Linked DNA regions of Medicago truncatula. The protein of the gene in region 1 interacts with the protein of each later gene in a pairwise test. Links are inferred from orthologs where the notes say so. Each region holds a gene or a part of one and is shown in the gene's direction. Other genes may lie near its edges.

Evidence for each region. The genes of interacting proteins can lie anywhere in the genome.
Region 2: the proteins of homeobox protein BEL1 homolog (region 1) and homeobox protein SBH1 interact in binary tests that used the Arabidopsis thaliana proteins (3 or more experiments, as listed by UniProt). The link is inferred for Medicago truncatula from reciprocal best matches to the Arabidopsis thaliana genes BEL1 and STM.
Region 3: the proteins of homeobox protein BEL1 homolog (region 1) and ethylene-responsive transcription factor 12 interact in binary tests that used the Arabidopsis thaliana proteins (3 or more experiments, as listed by UniProt). The link is inferred for Medicago truncatula from reciprocal best matches to the Arabidopsis thaliana genes BEL1 and ERF12.

The regions. Positions count from the first base shown.
Region 1 is NC_053049.1:45,421,940-45,429,779, forward strand, and holds the start of homeobox protein BEL1 homolog, read left to right. Parts: upstream 1-4,795; 5' UTR 4,796-5,034; coding exon 5,035-5,835; intron 5,836-6,188; coding exon 6,189-6,571; intron 6,572-7,117; coding exon 7,118-7,178; intron 7,179-7,439; coding exon 7,440-7,840. UniProt on the Arabidopsis thaliana protein: Plays a major role in ovule patterning and in determination of integument identity via its interaction with MADS-box factors. Formation of complex with AG-SEP dimers negatively regulates the carpel identity process and favors the maintenance of ovule identity.
Region 2 is NC_053043.1:8,828,538-8,835,721, reverse strand, and holds the start of homeobox protein SBH1, read left to right. Parts: upstream 1-4,115; 5' UTR 4,116-4,926; coding exon 4,927-5,343; intron 5,344-5,627; coding exon 5,628-5,883; intron 5,884-7,184. UniProt on the Arabidopsis thaliana protein: Required for shoot apical meristem (SAM) formation during embryogenesis. Negatively regulates ASYMMETRIC LEAVES1 (AS1) and ASYMMETRIC LEAVES2 (AS2 or LBD6). Probably binds to the DNA sequence 5'-TGAC-3'. Binds to RNA.
Region 3 is NC_053043.1:4,049,863-4,055,407, forward strand, and holds ethylene-responsive transcription factor 12, read left to right. Parts: upstream 1-4,066; 5' UTR 4,067-4,239; coding exon 4,240-4,758; 3' UTR 4,759-4,976; downstream 4,977-5,545. Other genes in the region: receptor-like protein 4, read left to right, coding at 1-35, 170-351, 482-609.

The DNA.
Region 1 (7,840 bases):
ACTATTGTACGAGTAAATAAAGTTATTTTTATACACATAAAGAAATATGAAAGTGGACCACCCTATCATAGCCTGGTTGTGTGGCACGTTGTTCTAACATGAAACCTGTTCAAAAATGTGACTCAAATGAAATCATGTCTCAGAGTTCAACTGTGTTCTAACTCGCGCCAGATAAATCCCCCGCCATTTGTGGAGTCTCCAATTGACTTGACCCCTCTATATATCCCATGGCCGCACCTTATTGTTATTACTTTGCTTCTTGAAACTTGTACATGTCTAACTAAATTAATAGCAACAGAAGAAAAAAAAATAGACATTTATCCAATATCACATTTCAAAATGGTCCAAAACTAGAGATTTGTAAAAAATCAATTTTATAATAGAAAAACACATAATAATTTTCCATTAAAATTTACTGAAAATAGGAAAGTTCATTTTTTTACTATGTCCAATATAACTATAATATGTCATAATAATTTAATATACATCATTGAGTTTTTCATTTGATTCTGTTTTGATTTGATTTGATCAGTCTTTGACCTTTAGTTTTGATTATTTCATAGTACATATATAACTAGAGAGAGGAGCTCATGCTCATATACAATAATGCTCCCTTCTTAGGTACTTTTTATATATGAAGATGTGGTGCCATAATATATTATCATTATAAAGGATTTGTGTTTATTGTAAATAAAAATAAATGATTTTTGCTAGTACATAAACAAGTTGTAATAAAAACTATTATGCTGTCATAAATGTTGGGAGTCTGCCTAAACGTACTAGTACATGGATATATAAAGTGATGAAGGTGTATAGTGATTTGTTGCATCATGCATGAGAAGAGTGCGTAGTGCACAAAGGCCAAAAAGAATCAGTGGGGTGAGAGAGGTAGTGACATCATTGTTGTATTTATAGGCCTGTATGTAAGGGTGAGAAGAGTAGAGCAAAGGGAAATTTGGCAAGCGGCGGAGAAAGCTGTTCCTCCTACTTACAACACCATTACTACCCTTTTTCACACACTTCATTTCAACCTATACTAACTTTCATTTTCTGCACCTATCCTCTCAACTTATTCTTTCAAATATAATAAACCATCAATTTGGTTTCAAAACTATCACATTCTCTCCAGTTTGATGAATAAACTATAGAAATATACTAAATAATCCTTATACTACTACTAATCTATCAAGTTAATCCTTCAAATCTCTTAAAAATTGGTTTATGGACTAATTTTATAGATAAATCTCTTAACCACCCATTATATTATTGGATGGGTTTGACCAAATTCGCTAATTTTTGGGTTGAGTATGATTGGGTAATGGATTACCCAACTTATTTTTTTATTTTTTAATATTAAATGACTAAACAACAGTACTCATAATTTATCTTAAATATTACTCAACTTTTTAATTCTCTTAAACATAATTGGTTAACTTATTTTTATTATAATTTTATGCATCATAGAATAATAAATTATAATATCAAATAATAAACTCCAACATAAAATACTTGCAACAAACTAAAGCTGCATAACATTAAATTGCATTAGTATTAAATTAACCAAAAATTGCAACATCTTGATCTGTAACATTAGCATGTTTTGATTTTCATTATATAGGATACAATGTGTATGTTTAGAAATATAACAATGATATTTGTACATCCATTCCATGACAACTTTAGTGACAACTTGTTTTTCTCTCTTCTTATTGGTCAAAAACAATGGAGAGAGAAAATGGAAGAGAGAAGATAAGACCATCATGTGAGTATGAGAGAGAAAGTTGTACAAAAGTTGTCACAAATTGGTTGTAAAAATATCATTTCTCTTAGAAATATAACTTGGTTTATGATCATAACCTTTAGTATTTTTCTTCTACCCTATGAAAATAAAGATAAAAAATATTGACCTTATTGAGTAAGTGGATTTATTGAGTCTGAGTCTAATTTTACCCAAAATCGATTTATTTTTATGGGGTTTTCATTTTTAGAAACCATACCCACCCAATTACCGCCCCAACCCATTTTTTTTTAGGTTTTATGGGTAGGTTTGACCGGATTTTCTAGTTAATCCAACCCATGTACACCCTAGGTAGAATGTAGCACTCAAATATGGGAATTGATCATTTGCCGCGACTGAAGAGTTCAGTTAAATATTAGTTTTTAAATAAAAATAAATACTTGAAAATCTAAATGTGACAAATTAGAAATTACAGTAGTGCTATATGGTACGAGACTTTTCTTCGCACAAAATGCAGGACAGCTTGTTTGCCTTATAAAATCACCATATCTGGCTCATTTTAATTATTTTAAACGGATTAAATATGCTCACAATAGAATCTTATATAACTATCATTGCATATGATGTTTACCATATAGCACTATTGATCACCGCCAACCTCACATCGCTTCATATTTGATATCATCATTGCATACGAAGGTATATACATGAGAACGTGAGAGAGAGAAATGAAGCATAAAAAAACTGAGAAATGTTGGCAGATGGTAGTTACTCCTATATTCTTTATAGAAATTTAATCTAGCTTGTTGGGTTTTGAAAATAAAATGAATAGTTACTATTCGTATAAATTCGTGCAAGACTGTGTCTCGTAACATCAAGCATTTTCCTAAAAATTATGAGATATAATAAATTTAATGGTGTAGATTCCCACACTGCAGAAAACTTGAGAGAAACACACCGGAGAAAATCCCCTTCCCTTAAATACTCATCTAGTTTTCGGAACGCCGGGATAAAGCTAATTTAGATAATGATTCCATCTCAACTGCGTTATAGTAAGTTCAGTGTTAGTCCATATATAAATCACAAGCATTGAAACATATATAGTTGGAAACACATAAAACTTTTTCTGAAGGTATACCATTAAACTTTGTGTTAACTGTAACCAAAAGATTAAACTCTCAAATTAGAAGTGCTATTAAATTTGTCATGACACGCTTTTGTTGTTTTGTTTTTGGTCTTAAATTTGGTTTTGCACTAATTGTTTATAAGTATCGCAAAAGTCATCCGCGTGGAGAGGCATATTTGACGATAAATGAAAATGAAGAAAGAAAAAGATGCGGTCCCTCCCATGCAAAATGGTTTGGGGAGGATATGTGGGTGGAGTACTTTATTACACCAATTAATAAGAATTAGATGTGCAAAGATAGGACCACCTCATCTCTATTTCTCATCTCATCTTCACTCCTTATTTTAGGAACGTTTTACACACACTAAACAACTATGTATATCGGTAAAAAAAATCAATTTGTTTTGTATGTCTTATTGGTTCTCTACTTCATTCACTAAGGTAATTTTACTCAGTTATTTTAACTATAATTATCGTTTTCTCTCAACTATATATCTAATCTAATAGTACTAAAATATAAGATATGAGAACATAAATTTTTATCAACTTTTGTCCATCACTATACCTTATTATTTAGTTTTTTTTACATGTACGTATATATATTAACAAACGATATGACGGTTAGTTAATACTCACTAATTGATGTATGTATAATTAATAAGAATACAAAATAATAATGGAGGAATATTTGAGAAGAGAAAATATATATAGTCCTATGTGGATGATAGTGTAATAATATTAGAGCAACTTCATTCAATATATCTCTCGTGAGTGGAAACAGATTGGAAGAGAATAACTGGTAGCTTATGGCTCAGAAAGACAACAGAGAAAACAGAAGGAGGAGGACCCACCTAACTCATCCCAAACAGAGCCTTTTTCTCATCTGAAAAAGCCTGTAAAAGACTTTACTTAGGAATGACTTCAATCTAGGGATCCGTTCCCTACAAAGATCTCCTTATTCCTATTCTTATTTCTTTAATTTAACTTCCATGCAGATTAATTAAATACTCCAAGGTAACCGTGACAATTTTAGACTCCAATTTAAATTTAAATGTGGCACCATTATTGTTGCTCAAAATAATATTTGTGATGTTAAAAGGAGAATTTATTCCATAAAAAGATGAAGAGTTTGTGAACCATAATCTATTCGATAATATTTTAAGCAATATATAATTTTTTTTTTATTTATAAATTATATTTACGTTTGGTATCATGATGAGTATATTAGAATCACAACGATCCGTTGTGATTTATCAAAATTATATTTACTAGTTTATGTAAAATTAGAGTAGATCTTAAATCTAATGCTTTAAATTAATATATTCTTTATATGAGTTCATTTGTGTATTTAAAAGTTTCAACTAATATAGACCAAAAATGCAAAAATTGAACTGCATTAAATCATCATTTTTTTCTATGAGCTGCAATAAATCTTCATGGTCTAGAAATAAACTGTAAAGAACCATAATTAATTCCTCATACATGTGATACAACAATTCAAGTGGCGGCTCATAGTTTATGTATGAGGCAGAGGACATCATTACTTGTTGCTGGTCCTGCTTCATCATATATATATATGTAATTTAATTTGTAGAGAAGGTTAGTCTTTTTTATTTTCTTGACTGAATAAAAGATATATAAATATATTATGCAACATAATTTACTTCAATTTTCAAAAAATAATACAGTTATATAAGAAAAACAATGAGTAAAATCCCCTAAATAAATAAAATAAAACAATGAGTTAAATATTGTTTACAATAGATTGAAATAATATAAGAAGAATTATCTGTTTTGAACATTTATTGATTATAAGATTTTTCTAATACTAGGTAAGAAATAATTGAGGAAATTTCCTTGATATTAATTAATATTTTTGGTGGGAATATGAAGACTAATTTGGTTGTATTTATAAATCTTGGTCCATTGACTCATCAGTTGTTAAGAAAGAGAGAGAGAGAGAGAGAAATATAAAGAAAAAAAAAAGAGTATATGATAGCATGGAGGTCATCATCAATACCCTCTCTAGCTAGCTATCTCATCTTCTATTTCTGAGCAACTATATCTCATCTTTCTTCCACACTCATGCTCCCCTCATAATATAAATTAATTCACTTAATTTATATTTGAAACTATAGCTAGATATATTGAAGTTTGAAAATTTTTATTCATGGCTAGACAACTTTGTCATGAAGATGACAAAACATCAAGTGGTGGATTTTGTTACAACCCAACGATTCAAACACAAATCCAAGGTTTTGTGTCCGATCCAGAGATGTTCAATCTCACAACAGGGATGGAGATGATAGGTTTTTCCAAACAACATCTTCAACAACATAGTACTGACACAACAAACTCTGTCATGTGGAAAACAAATTTCTCAGGAAAACTAAGTCAACAACATGTTGGTCCTTCCTCTTCTTCAAAAACCATGAATGATAATTTCTATCATCATCAAGATTTCACTGTTTCTGATACAACAAGTAGTGATCAGAATCTAAACAACATGGTTCATCATGATTCATCTTCACATCATCAGTGGCAACAAGTTGATGATTCATCTTTAAGATGTGTTTTCCCTTGTGAAGGTAATGAAAGACCAAGTCAAGGACTTTCACTCTCTCTTAGTTCAACAAACCCTTCCTCTATTGGTTTACAATCTTTTGAACTAAGACATACTACTAATCATCATTTGCAAGATCAAGGGTATCAAGGTCATTTTCTTCTCAAAAACTCTAAGTTCTTACTTCCAGCACAAGAACTTCTCAATGAGTTTTGTAGTTTAGAAAGTACTAAGCAAAATGATTTAGTTTTACAAAAGCAAAAATCTCAAAAGTTCAACAACAAGCAAAGTTGGGAAGATGATAACAACAATGGTGGTAGCAGTTCTTCAATCAAACAATCTTTAACCTCTGTAGAGTTTGTTGAATTGCAGAAGAGAAAAACTAAGCTCCTTTCCATGCTAGAAGAGGTATATTATTACATATTATAGTACTACTATTTATATGTTTCAAATTTAAATTATTTTATTATTTCATTTCATTAATCAAAGACTATTAAGTTCAAGTCATAATCAAGGCTCTTAACTTTTGGTTGAGATTGGTGTCTTAATTTGGATTTTGATTCTTGAACTAATTAAGCAGCTAGTGAAGTCTTATCATAAATGCCTTCACCCCGTGACAATTGAAACTTTTTAATGTTACCTTTTTGCTTTTCTTACCAATAAAAATTGTTAGGTTTCATTTTTATTTCTATGGTGGAAGTAACTTTCAAACTCATGAAAATTATTTATTTAAATATTGTTTTTTTACTTTTGTGTATAAGGTTGATAGAAGGTACAAACACTATTGTAATCAAATGAGGAGTGTGGTTTCATCATTTGAAGCTGTAGCTGGAAATGGAGCTGCGAAAGTATATTCAGCTTTGGCTTTAAAAGCTATGTCAAGACATTTTAGGTGTTTGAAAGATGGAATTTTAGAACAAATTCAAACAACAAGAAAAGCAATGGGAGAAAAAGACCCTGTTGCACCTGGAACAACAAAGGGTGAAACACCTAGGCTTAAAATACTTGACAGAGTTTTGAGACAACAAAGAGCATTTCAACAAATCAACATGATGGAAACACATCCTTGGAGACCTCAACGTGGTCTTCCTGAACGTTCTGTTTCAATTCTCAGGGCTTGGCTTTTTGAACACTTTCTTCATCCGTAATTCTTTTTTTTTCTTCATTTCATTCATATTTTATTTATTTCTTTCTATGTTCAAGTAAGTAGTTCTAATAGAAGTAAGGTACAAAATACATTTTTCTAAAGAATCAATGTTGTCTCCATTTCAAAAAATAAAAACAACTATTGGCAGTTGTGTTATGGTATCGTAAGTTTTCTCATATCAAGAATCTTTTACATTAATGTGCTTCAACAAATATAAAAAATTATATCCTACGCATTTTTTTTTGTTAGTTTCTGTGCATCACCATTCAGATTCCATCTTTTCATATGTATGTTGTTGTGTATAGTATTGTCATATTATTTTCAATCATTTCTACATCATCTTCTCTTACTTTTATTTTTGCGTCTCTTTCTCAACTACTTCTTTTTATTTTTATGTGGACTTAAATAATTCTTCCTTTGTAGGGCCATTTCTTCTTATCTCTAATATAGTTAGTTTTATTTTCTAATTACTATTTAATTCATACGTGCCACACAAGGTCATATATTAATTTTTTTTTTTTTTTTTTGTATAATTTTTTATAGGTACCCAAGCGACGTTGATAAGCATATTTTGGCCCGCCAAACCGGTCTCTCAAGAAGCCAGGCATGTTGATTTTCTATTATATTAATAATAAAAATATTAATATATTTCCCTTCATTGGACAAACTCTTTCAATTTCATATTTAATTAAATAGTCATATATATTAGATGGTCTTCTCAGATCCGTCACCCAAAAATTTGATATTAATATTTGTAAAGAGTAAGTCTTAATATAGACATATAATATGTTATTATTGTAAATTTATTAATTGAAAGTTTTTAAGGTGACACATGTTATTTAATTATTAATTAATTGAAAAGCAGGTATCAAATTGGTTTATTAATGCAAGAGTGAGACTATGGAAGCCAATGGTGGAAGAAATGTATTTGGAAGAAGAGAAAGAGCAACAAAGAAACACGACAACCTCGGACGGAGGAAACAATATTAATCATGAAGAGGATAATCTTAATGTACTTCAAAACCAATCTCAAACTCAACCTCACGAGGATCAAAAGCCACGACTCCTTCGAATCGATTCTGAATGTGTCTCGTCTATCATCAACAATGATCATAAAAATGATGCTAATAATAAGAATTTGAATCATCATCAATTAGCCGCGGATGCGTTTGGCTCGGTTGATATTGATTTTTCATCTTATAATACGCATCATTCTTCTTCTGACATGGTTGCTGCTTACACAAGTGGTGAGAGTTTCCACCAAGG
Region 2 (7,184 bases), on another chromosome or scaffold:
TTTTACTACACTAAAGGGATGCGATTTTGGGGTAGATCCGGAGATTTTAGGGTTTGAGTATGATTTAGATTTGGAATTGAGTATGTATTGGATCCGGCGAAGAAGAAGATTTTGATGGAAATGAAAATGAGATTTTGATTAAAGAGTTTGAATGTTTAATTTATGTTAATGGGCATGATGAAGATTGATGAATGTTGATGATGGTGAGGTTGAAGATGATGAAGAAGAAGAAGGAAGAAGATGAAGAAAGAAAAGCAAGATTTTTAATTTGAAATTTGTTAATTCGTGTTTTTGAATTTCGTCCCCTGGAAATTTTCATTTTTGGATTTAGTCCCTCTAAACTTGTCAATTGTGACACATAAGCCTCACTTGCCATGTCACGCATCGTCACATCGGTCGCCGTTTGATATATCAACGTTTTTGTAACTTATGATGACGACAAGACCAAAAACAAAACATTTGAAACTTACCGGGTATTTTTAGAATCAAAAAGTTACAAAAACAGAAACAAAAAACACGCCAACTTACAGGAACAATTTACATATTATAAAAATGGTTAATTAAGTTTTTAGTCCTTGTAAATATTCACAGTTTTATTTTTAGGAACAAAATGTTGATGAAATTTTTTTACAGGGACTAAAAATAATGATGAAAAGTTCTTATAGGGACTAAAAATGCTGATGGAGAATTTTATAGCGATTAAAAAGTATGATTTTATTTTGTAGGGAAAAACAATTAATTAACCCTTCTAAAAATCTGAATTATTATTATTCTAAAATTGACAGCAACTCAAATTTTCAATGCTGTACGAAAGAGAACAAAAAAAATGAAGAGTATAAACCGGATGGGAGGGGGGACAATGGGATGCGACAATAAGTACGTAACCTGATGGAGCTGCTTTTATACGGTATTTTTACGGGAAGTGATGCTAAGTCTATGCCTTTATTGTGGACGATGAGGAAGGATATATAGATATCTATGGTGCTAGTGCTACAAATAGATTAGCAAGTCATCAAAGAAAAAAAGAGGAAGAGACATTCGGACTGTCCCACATACTTTACAGCTTTATTAACTTAGCTACAGCACTAGCTTTTTCTGCAGTAAATTATCTCGAATTACTACTGATTATATGCATGCTAGCTAACATAGCAACGTCATATTGGGTTCAATTTAGTAAAAGATAAAACTTTGTTGAGTTAATTAATAATTCACAAAATTAAAGTAGAAAGTTAATCATCTTTGGTAGCCCTTGGCTTTCTGATAGTTGGAGATTTTTTCTGTTCAATCGGCTGATGTTTGCTTGCATGTTTTTCAATTTGGTGGTTTGTTTAGTTGTAGTATTTGTTTACGAAGGATATACTCATCATTGCTTGTATGTGATTTTGTTGGATGTTTTATTGGAAGAAGTGTAACTCGTAGGTTTGCTGTAACAAAGAGTTGAATTTAGATGTTACAAGATCGTATTAAACTTTTCTCTTGGTGTATTTTTTGTTCTATTTTTAGAGGGTTATAATTGATTTTGGAGGTATAGAATTGATTCTGATATGTTTGGTTGTTGTTGATTATAATTGACCATGTCTCCATAATTGATTATATTTGAGATATGATTTGTAACTTTTGAATCTATAATTGATTTTAATATACAAATTTATAATTCAACTCACTTTTACATGAACGTATCCAAACATAAATTACATTTTTAAAAAAAATTACTTTTAATTAAAATCAATTCTACAAAATTGATTATATCAAAATCAATTTTTTCCACAACGCAACCAAATATACGTTTGGTGGTGGTTGAAATCTCAAGAACCACATATTTTTTTACATTTCCATTCGTGATGGAATAATCCATTAGTCTGTATTGATTATGCCACCATATAATGTTGTGTCTCAAAAACTTGTAGTTATGATATTATGTGTGGGGTGACATCGATTTAAACAAATCACGATATCACTTAAATTAACACATCAACACATCTAATAAAATTAATTAACAAAGAAACATTTTGATTGACGTAAGACAATTTAGGGGAATAATTTTATGTTTCATAAATTTAGTGTTCAAAATAACAATTACATTTTCAAGACAAAAATGTGATTTAATCATTAATTACTATTGTTCAAAAGAAACAAACTATATATCTTATAGTTTCTTGTATACTAAAATGAGTTAATTTTTAATCTCGAGCAAGAAGAAAACAAAGAGAGTGAGTATAATGACGACTAGTGTTGTATTTTCATAAAATTAAATGTACTCGTTCTAAAGTAATTAACCTTTCTAAAACAAAAATTTGTCACGAAATAATTGATCTTTTCAATTTTCAACATAGCATTAATATTTTTTCCAATCGTATCTCTAATATTACTTGTATCATTGTCAATCAATATTTTTTTTTTTTGACAAAAATTCAATATATTTTATAGTTACACAAATGTCAACTTGTGCCTTTTTTAAGTTAAATTAATCCATCTAAATTAATATTGGAGATAATCGAATCTGAGACCTCGAGCATGAGCACACTTCAAAATCCTAACTCAACATCACTAGACTAGGGATCTAGTGATGGCAAAGCGGACCAACCAACTTAAACCCGCAAAAAGCAGGAAGAAACGGGTTGAATCAATTTAGGTGGCCGAGTTCAAAATTTCATCCCCCGCTTTATGGCGGGTTGACGGGCCGTCAAAGAAAAAACGTGATTTTTAATGCAATTTTTAACAGTTTTATTGTTATGAAAAAATATGTTGTGGTTATTTATAAAATAAAATTGGGAGCAAATCAATTTGTGCTAAAACACAAGCTTACGAGACAAAATTGGATTATAATGAGTTATTTGGTCACTTCATTTTAAATTATGTCTAACTCGTCGATAAAATAAAAAATTAAAAAATTTCAAGTTGACGAGTTGGTGGGTTGGCCCGCCCCGTCCCTATCCCATCCCATCCCATTTTTTCAACGAATTAAGCAAGACGAGCCTATTAGAAGTGGTGAGTTCAAAACTCCAGCTTAGCTCTCCAAAAAAAGCAAGCTAAATGAGCCGGCCCGATAATTAGGTTTGTTTTGCCACCTTTACTCCAAGCCAATCCAAGTTGGTTAATTAACTTATGCCCTTAAGGCGCATGTTAAAGAACTTATTATAAATATATACATTTTTTTAAGAATCGAAACATACATTTTTAAAGTTGTATATTCATCTTTTTAAAAGTCAAAATATTATATTTTTTAATATAAATTAAAGTTACTCTCGTTGAGTTTTTAACATGTGCGTTGGGTTGCAAAAGGACATCTTAATGAGTGGCTTCTAGCAAAACTTATATATATATATATATATATATATATATATATATATATATATATATATATATATATATATATATTAATTGAACAAAATCCTTATTTTTTTTTCTTTAGGTGCGTTTAACATTTAGGCCATCTCCAACAAGGGATCTCTCTCCTTTTTAAGACCAGATATTTATTAAGTAATTTCATCGAGTAAAAGTTATTGAATTAATAGGAACAAAGTCTCAATGTAGATGTTAAATTTTTAGTGAGATGATTTTTTTATTTTTAATATTTTATTTTTGAAATGCAATGATATAGAGTCATTGGTAGATAATTAATGTGTTCCGTGTTTAGCTGGAGGGATTGACTGCTTATTAGATATTATTATTAAAAAATTATAAATGAGTGATGCAGACATATAAAATTATTCTAAGTATCTAAAAATGATTGTTTCCATTTTGATTTTATTATACAATGAGAAATGGTAACTAGTGTTTGGGGCCGTGATTAAGAAAACCAATATGGTATATAGTACAATAAAAATTGTATAACCTTTCATTTGGTCTTTGTAATTAGGTTTTGTTAAAGAGTGCTGTCGGGGCACTCATGAAGGATTTTAAAAGAAAAAAATTATTTTACATAAAAGTTAAATATTTTGATTTCTAATACATTGATTATACATATTTTTATAAAAAATTATCATTTAAAGGTATTAAAGAGTACCTCGGAGGCATTTGTTAATATTTTGCTTGTGATTATAAAAGATTAAATTGTACTTGTATAATAAATACTAATAAAATAAGAATTGATCTAAGAAAAAAGAATAGAGTGAGTGAGGTGAGGGAGATAGAGAGAAGGATTGATTCCGTGCCCTATGAAATGAACCTATCTTCCCCAATATATTCATCATCATCAGCATAGTAGTAGTAGGTAACTTGTTTTCTCCTCCTCGATTTGATCGTTCCTAGCTCACTATTTATTACTACCTCTCTCCAAAACAAAAGAAAAGAAAAGAAAAAAAAACTTGCTTGTTCTCTTGTCTCTCACTCCACTGCTTTTGTATGGCAGGGGTATCAGTGGCAGTGCAGAAAAAGGAAGGTAGAGTTTTCATTGGGAAGGTAAAACCTTTTTTTGGCACCAATGCTTCACACTAACCCTTCTTCTGTAACTCAACCTTCATCTCTCTCTCTACATATCCCGCGTGCACTCTACTGCTTTCTCACTCCTTCATAAAAAACCTTGTATTATCCACTAGCTAGAGAGACAAAGAGAGATTCATTTCTTCATTAAATGCTGAAAATGTGTGGAAAGAGAGATTAACACTCATTTTCCAAAGGAAATCTGTGCAGGCTTTTGCCAGTAGTAGAATCCAAAAAACCTCTTCACTACTTCTTCATGTAACTGACTGTAACTATACAACATAGCCACCACAAAACACTATCACTATTTATGTTTTTCTGTAAAAAAGCCTGTTACTTTTTTACCATAAAACCCGGGCGGGTGACCCTTGTGTGAAACAAAAACATCTTCAATATTAATATCATTCAAGTGAGAGAAAGAAAAATCTGACCTAGAAGGCAAAAAGGGTAATAAAAAGGAAGTGTTATTGTGGCTAAGTGAGTGAGTGAGTGAGTATTAATTCAATGGAGGGTAGTTCTAATGGAAGTTGTTCTTATGTGATGGGTGCTTTTGGAGAAAACAGTGGTGGGCTATGTCCTCCAATGATGATGATGCCTTTAGTCACTTCATCTCATCATAATGCTCATCATCCAATAAATTCCAATAACAACAATACTAATGCAAACAACACAACCGGTCTTTTCCTTCCTATCCCTAATTCCACTAACAATAATAACAATCACTACACCAACTGTAATAACAACACCTCTTCTATCATGCTTCAAAATAACCATCAAAACACTCCTGGTTTAGGTTACTATTTCATGGACAACATCAACAACCATGGAAGCTCTTCTTCCTCTTCTTCTTCTGTCAAATCCAAGATCATGGCTCATCCTCACTATCACCGTCTCTTGGAAGCCTACATCAACTGTCAAAAGGTCAGAAAAAAAAAGAAGATAATTATTTTGAAAACGATGTGTGTGTAATTAATTTCTTTGTACTTTTTTTGTTTGACAAGTTTGGATCTGATGAGCTGTGTTGTATAATTGTACTTTGAAACTGTGGCCTTTTGTTTTCATTTCCATTTATTACTAATATTGACAAACTATCATGTATATTATTGTAAGTCAAAACCCTTTTAAGCATATGTGATAAAGACACTTCATCTCATGACTATTTTTTTCATAAATTTTTTACTTCATGAAAATTATTGTGTTTTTAGGTTGGAGCACCAAGTGAAGTGGTGGCAAGGTTAGAAGAAGCATGTGCAACTGCAGTGAGAATGGGTGGAGATGCAGTTGGATCAGGTTGTTTAGGTGAAGATCCAGCTCTAGATCAGTTCATGGAAGCTTACTGTGAGATGCTTATCAAGTATGAGCAAGAACTTTCCAAACCCTTAAAGGAAGCTATGCTTTTTCTTCAAAGGATTGAAGTCCAGTTCAAAAATCTTACAGTTTCTTCATCTTCAGATAATATTGGTGATAATAACCTCTCTCTCTCTCTCTCTCCAGAAAATACTATTCAGATTTTAAATCATAATCTTGATTGCTTGATATTTGTTGTTGTTTACATATGCATCCATGCATGCCTGTGTTTGGAAGAGTTTGTTAATTTTGTTAGTATGTAAAAGTGTTTGATTATTATTAATTAATTAATTAAATTGAAGTTTATGACAAGATCTACTTTTTTTTTTCTAGCTTTTCTTATAAAAAAAATTCTTAATTAGTCTTTTTCAATAGTATTTTATATTGCTAGCTTGTACTCTTTTTAATCTTCTTTGCCTAAATAAGTGAGTTCCTAATACTTGCTACCAAAGGTGCCCTTAACTCATGCGTTTTTTGTCTAAAAATAAAGGTAGATGGTGATGTATAGTAGTACATATATATTTCATTGGTGTTGGTGCATTGAAGGAACTTAACTATATAGGTATCTTGTTAAATTCGTCTTTTCTTGTGTGTGTGCTTGATAGTATTGTTTTTATGGGAACTATAAGACTTGCATCATCACACATATAGCTTTTTCTTAAAATTTCCCTTTTGATGAGGTCACAGAAACTCTCAGATTTCACTGGCTTTTGTAGTGTTCTTAATATATTAACATTATTAAAGAATCTACTTTGTAATGAATCCAAAAATTGGAGGACTTCGGAACAGGAAGATTGGTGGGTGAATTTAGGTTTTGTAAATAATAACCAATGAATTAGGGTTTCTTCTGCACTTGTTCCCAGAAGTGGTAATTGCGAGGTATATACTCACAAGTTTCTTTCCTAATTGGAGTGCAAAATGCAGATAGTAGAGTAGCTCCAAAGAGCTGAAGTACTTTCCTGGGGACAAGTGCAAAGTGGATTTTAGATTTATGATATGGATCAATTAACATGGAAAAAAATCTTGCAAAGTTGATTGGATTTGATTAATGACCTAAAAAAGAGATTAAGCTATGATGTGTTAGTAGGTCCTTAAGAATAATGATGAATTTGATTGATTTGTTCTCTTGCTTCTTTTTCTCATTTGTCTCATCAAGGTTCCGTGTAAACACTACTCCCTATAGATGGAATATTTTATTAATTTGTATTATTTCATATAGCTAGTGTGATTATATGTGTTGTCATCATTATGTATATTTTTGTGTCTGCAGGTATAGATGCATATTATAATGCTTGTTAAAATTATGTTTGTTTTTTGATATTATATTTGATAAAAAACTTGGTTACTTGTCTTTAACTAAAAATGGATATACATTGTCCTACATGCATTTTTCTATGTTGGTGCTTAAGAAAAAA
Region 3 (5,545 bases), on another chromosome or scaffold:
CTAGGAGGAAGGCTTCTGCACAGAGCTAGCTTCAAGTATGTTGTGATAAAAGTCTAGAATAAACTTAAGTTCTATTTATATGCAAAGAGAAAAGAACCATATCTACATGCTATTTCTCCCCTTTCTTTATGATTAAGGTTGCTAAATAAAAACATGTGGATTGCTGCAGTTTTACGGACAATTCGGGTCTGTGTGGTATACCTGGATTACCTACATGCGGACCTCATCTTTCTGCCGGTGCTAAAGTTGGCATTGGCTTAGGTGCTTTTTTTACTTTTCTACTTCTGATTACCTGTTCAGTTTGCTGGTGTAAAAGGCGGAAGAATATCATCCGGGCTCAGCAAATTGCAGGTAAGGATGTTAATATCTTAATATGCTGTTACTGCATTGAGCTTTTTCTAGATGTATATGATCTTGTAGTTGTACATGGATAGTGTCTTAATTTGAAATCACAATAATATATCTCTTTTTTCTTTTATAGCGAGGGCAGCACCATATGCACAAAAGAGGACCCATTTTTCACGCGATATACAGATGACGAGGCATAGTAATAATTATGGCAATTCTCATACTGCTGCGGAGAATGGACCTATCTTGCTTGGAGGATAGCATTCCATTTATTCTGGTATTTTTGGAAAACTATCCTAGCATTCTTCACTTTCCCATCCTCAATTGATTTGATTTTTTTTTCATTCAATAATCGTATTTTGATGTATGTATGGCAGGGGTATTCTGATGGCTGTACTGCACTACCTTACAGGCTGAGAATCCTACTAATTTGTAAATCACAATTTTGTACATTACATGTTTACTTTTTTTTATTACTCATTTTACGTTTGAACTTCAATATTTTTTTAGTTTGTTGATAGAATATTTGTAACAGTTCAAAAATTAAAATGTAAACAGAAATCATAATATTCTGTGGAGGATAAATGAGGGCTACTTTACATAACAGCTGCCCTGGTACATTCATTTATATTTGTTTAATTTAAATGTGTGGATCACTGTTAGAGCAGCTGAAATTTGGTATGTACCCATTAAGGGTGTTTACCTATCATTACTCTTTTGTTTTTAAAGAACTTATTAGTATACTTTTTTTATAAGACAAGACCAAAATGACATCAAAAAAATAGTGTCCAACTAAGTTGGAACACTACTCTTTTTTTTTGTGGTAGCCGAGGTCCCAACCCCGGACCTTACATATTTTATGCATTGCTCATATATATTATTAAAAAAAGAAAAATTACATAAAACCTGATTCAGTTAACAACTCTAACAAAATAAAATAAAATATGATAAAATAAAAATTTCAGAAAGTGGATTCAACCTTAATCAAATCTAACAATTAAGCGCGGGTCTAAATATAAAATACGAAAGATTAACCTTAAATAAATATCTCAACAGGCAATAAATAATTTTGGTGATAATAACATAATAAATTTATTACTTTAAACATTTTTTTTTAATATCCGCGGTTTTGCATTCTTATAAAAAAGAGATGGAGAGTGTAGGAGTCTTAATAGCCCGGACATTTTCCTTAAAAACTACTCCCTCCATTTCAAAATATAAGCAAAATTCATATTTTAGGTTCATTTATTTAATGATGTATGTGGTCCATAATTTATTTAATAATGTATGTGGTCCATATTATGAACCACATACATCATTAAATAAATAAATCTAAAAAATAAATTTTTTTTATATTTTAAAACAGGAAAATAAAAGTGACGTATAGAAACAAAAACCGAGTAATTTTTAATAAAAAAAGATGAATGAATTCACGTGACGATTATTATTACTACACACATCCGTATCTGTAGGCATACACAGTGTGGCCATCTGCTAGCTGCAGTCACTCACTCTGAACCTGATTCATCACCCACCCATCCACCCTCCCAGTCCCTGACTTTCACCACTCACTGATCTCACTTTTCAATTTTCGTCCTTTTTCTTTTCTTTACTCCACAAAAAATAATACTCCTCCGTAGCAGACTTATTAAAGCTAGTACTACAACAGAGCCCAAGCAACAACAACGTAGTCAAACACGCCAACAAGACCATAAAAAAGAAAAAAATAAGCCCATTTTCTCAAGGTGGCCCAATTTCACCTGTTCCCTGCTACTCAGACACCATTCCACGTGGGAGTCTCTCTCCCTGCACTAACCTAACCCCACATATTACCCTATCCAATCATATTTATCCACCTCATCTCACCTTTCTCTTTCATTACCACAACTCAAATTCCCATAATACCTCTTTATTTATTACAAACTCCCCCTCCAATCCAATAAACCACTATTCATCTCCAATGACACATCTCAATCCCCAAAAAAACACAAACATTAAATAGAATATTTTTTGAAATAAAATTCTAAAAAAAATAAAAAAATAACTTATGCCCTCAAGGCAATGTAAAGTTGAACATAATTTGTACCAAAAAAAAAAAAATTGAACATAATTGATATTTTAATGTTTATTTTGTGACAACTTTTAAACAATTTTATCTCTTATACTACCTTCGTCCTTTAATGTAAACTCCCTTTGCTTTTTTTATATTTCTTAAGAAAAGTTATTAGTGTAATTAATGTTTCTGTTTTCTGTGTTAATATTACTAAATTGTTCTTTGTTTGTATGTGTATTAAATTTCAAGAAAACTAACACTTAATGATTTGAGGTATAATTTTTTGTGTTCTCCTTAAAATAAGTTTCATGGAAAGATGTAAAAATAATTCTCGTTGGTTAAAAATTATGGAGAAAATAAAAAGGAGAATAAATTGAATGCAATTTGCATTTAATTTTACATTGAAAAAGATGTTTTGTTTGAAAAAACATAATAATAGCATAAAAATTGATCTTTTTTGCTTATATTTTGAGACAAAGAAAATAAGATTTTTTTGCTTATATTTTAGAACGGATGGAGTATTAATTAAAGGTATGTTTAGAAAAAAAAATAATAAATGCATCTAGTAATTTAGAAAGGGGATTACATTTAAGGACTAAAATAAAATCAAATGGATGTTTAGATATAGAGACGGAGGAGTATTTACATTATTGTTTAACTTTCTCTCTTCCTTTTTTTTCTTTATATAGTTTTTGACTAATCAAAAAAGAAAAAAAAAGTTTTGACAAATGGTTTTACACATATCATTACTAAAAGATGAAACAAAATCTTAAAAACTATGTATTTAACTCAAATTTAAATTTATTTTTGAAATACAAAATAATTCTTTTAATTGTTTTCGTAACTCTCTAACTTGTGCCTAACAACATAAGTTAACATGACAAAGCAAATCTTAGTGAGGTTTTTTGTAGTTTTTTTATTTGAAAGATGGTTTTTTGTAATTAATTAATCTAATATTTAGAATATTATTTTAAGATGAATAAATAGATTCTTTAAAATTCAAACACCGCATGTTACATCCTTCAAAAATAAAAAACACCGCATGTTACAATGAACTATTTCATCCAAATAAACTATGCTCCCGAAGACAAAAATATTATTAATAATTCACCAACGAAATTTAACATTAGCAATGAAAGTGGAATATGATTACATTATGGTTTTTTCTAGATTACCTTTGAAGAATGGTGGGTAATTTACCCACCAACCAATGAAAATGAACAATTTGTTGGTGGGGTTAAGATAGTTCATGGATACCACTTAAAAATGTGCTTATGTGGCTAATGTGTATTGGTTGGGGTAAATTACCCACCATTCTTCCATGGGTACCCTAGTTGTCACCTTATATTATTAGGTAAATTAAATAAAATTACGGATGAGTATAAAAGATAAAAAAAAATGACAGGAGTAGTTTGAAAAAAGTGTCAGGCGCCGCTGAGCAAACACCGTACAACAACAGTAGGGCATACGTCACGCTCCTACAGCCCCCACTTCCTTCCACCCCATACGTCTTTTCAGCCGGCGGCTATCCCAATAGGGTCCCACCACTTTCTTTCATCCTCACATCATAGCCGTCCATCAGTATCAACGGCTCCCCTTTATTTTATCCAAATTTGCTTCCCACCTCGTGTGGTTTTTTGTGTCTATATATACAAACATAATCACAAACCAAAAATCAAAACCAAAGGGTGGTAGTAGTAGTATTGTAGTGGTGCCGGCCAGCCGACAATTACGGGAGCCAATGTGGGTCCCTTCACTTTTATAAACTCAAATCACTTCTCACTTCACTTCGCAAACCCTTTCTTTTCTCTCTTCTTGTGTTGTTTTTCTTTGTTTTCATGGCTTCTTCTTCAACTTCTTCAGCGAATCGTGAAGGACACTACAGAGGTGTTAGGAAGCGACCATGGGGACGCTACGCCGCTGAGATTCGCGATCCGTGGAAGAAAACGCGTGTTTGGCTGGGTACATTTGACACTCCTGAAGAAGCTGCTCTTGCTTACGACGGCGCCGCTCGTTCTCTTCGTGGAGCTAAAGCAAAAACCAACTTCCCACCGGCGCCGGTCGCCGGAGGACTTTGTTTGGATCTCAACGCTCCTTCTTCTGATCTCCGATGGCCATCTGTCCCTTCACGTGGCCGTGTGCTTACTGAGTTTCTTCAAACTGGTGTTCTCAAGGATTTCAACCCTCCTCCACCTCCACCCATCGGCGGGGTGGTTGGACAGAGGCATAATGAAGTTACTCTTGCTGTCGCCGGCAGAACTATGGTGGCTGAGAACTCTCCGACGGCGGCTTACTTGGGACTTGTTCGACGTGGGATTCCGATTGACTTGAATGAACCTCCACCGTTGTGGCTTTGAAAAACCCTAGACAAATAAGTAGCGTAAAATGAGATGATTTATTGTAGTTTTTTAACGGCGTCGTTTTAGGATCTTATCTAATTAATCTTGTCTTTTTCTCCCTTATTAGCGGCATAGTTATCATGAGGGAGTATCTACCTATCTTATCTTTGTAATGTATCTATGGCAATCTAACATTTAAAAAAAAAAAAATGAAGTACTTTATGATATTTTATTTATTTATTTCCATATTAATTGATGTCTATGACTAGTATGAGTGTTATTGAGCTAGATTCTCACGTTGAAATAAATGCTATGGGTTCACATCAACTATTCTTTTTCATATGACACTTTGCTTGGCAAATTGTAGTTTTAATAATGGGTATGATGGACACATTATGTAATCTTTGTCCAAAATATTTGAACTACTAGTAATAATAGAATCTAAAATGTTTTACGGTTTGGAGCATTTGGAATGTTGGGCGGCAACCGACGAGGGAGTGACACCAGTAAATTTGATGCTGTTGGTTTTGGACCACGTTAGAAAACAACGGCGTTGTGTAAAGGGAGTTTGGTTTCACGCGCGAGTGGGTCTGGTTTATGCTGAGAGCGGGAACTGCGATGCGAGCGTGTGGGTATCAGCATGATGGCATTCCTTTTCTAGTCAGAGATCTGGTTCTTACCATTTTGGCAGCGTATATTTTCCTCCACTTTTAGACCCACTCACTTTCCCAAGCGCGTCTCAGTTATTCTTCATTTTTTTTCCTCATCCTCATCTTATATTGTTTGTAATTTTTTTATTATTTTA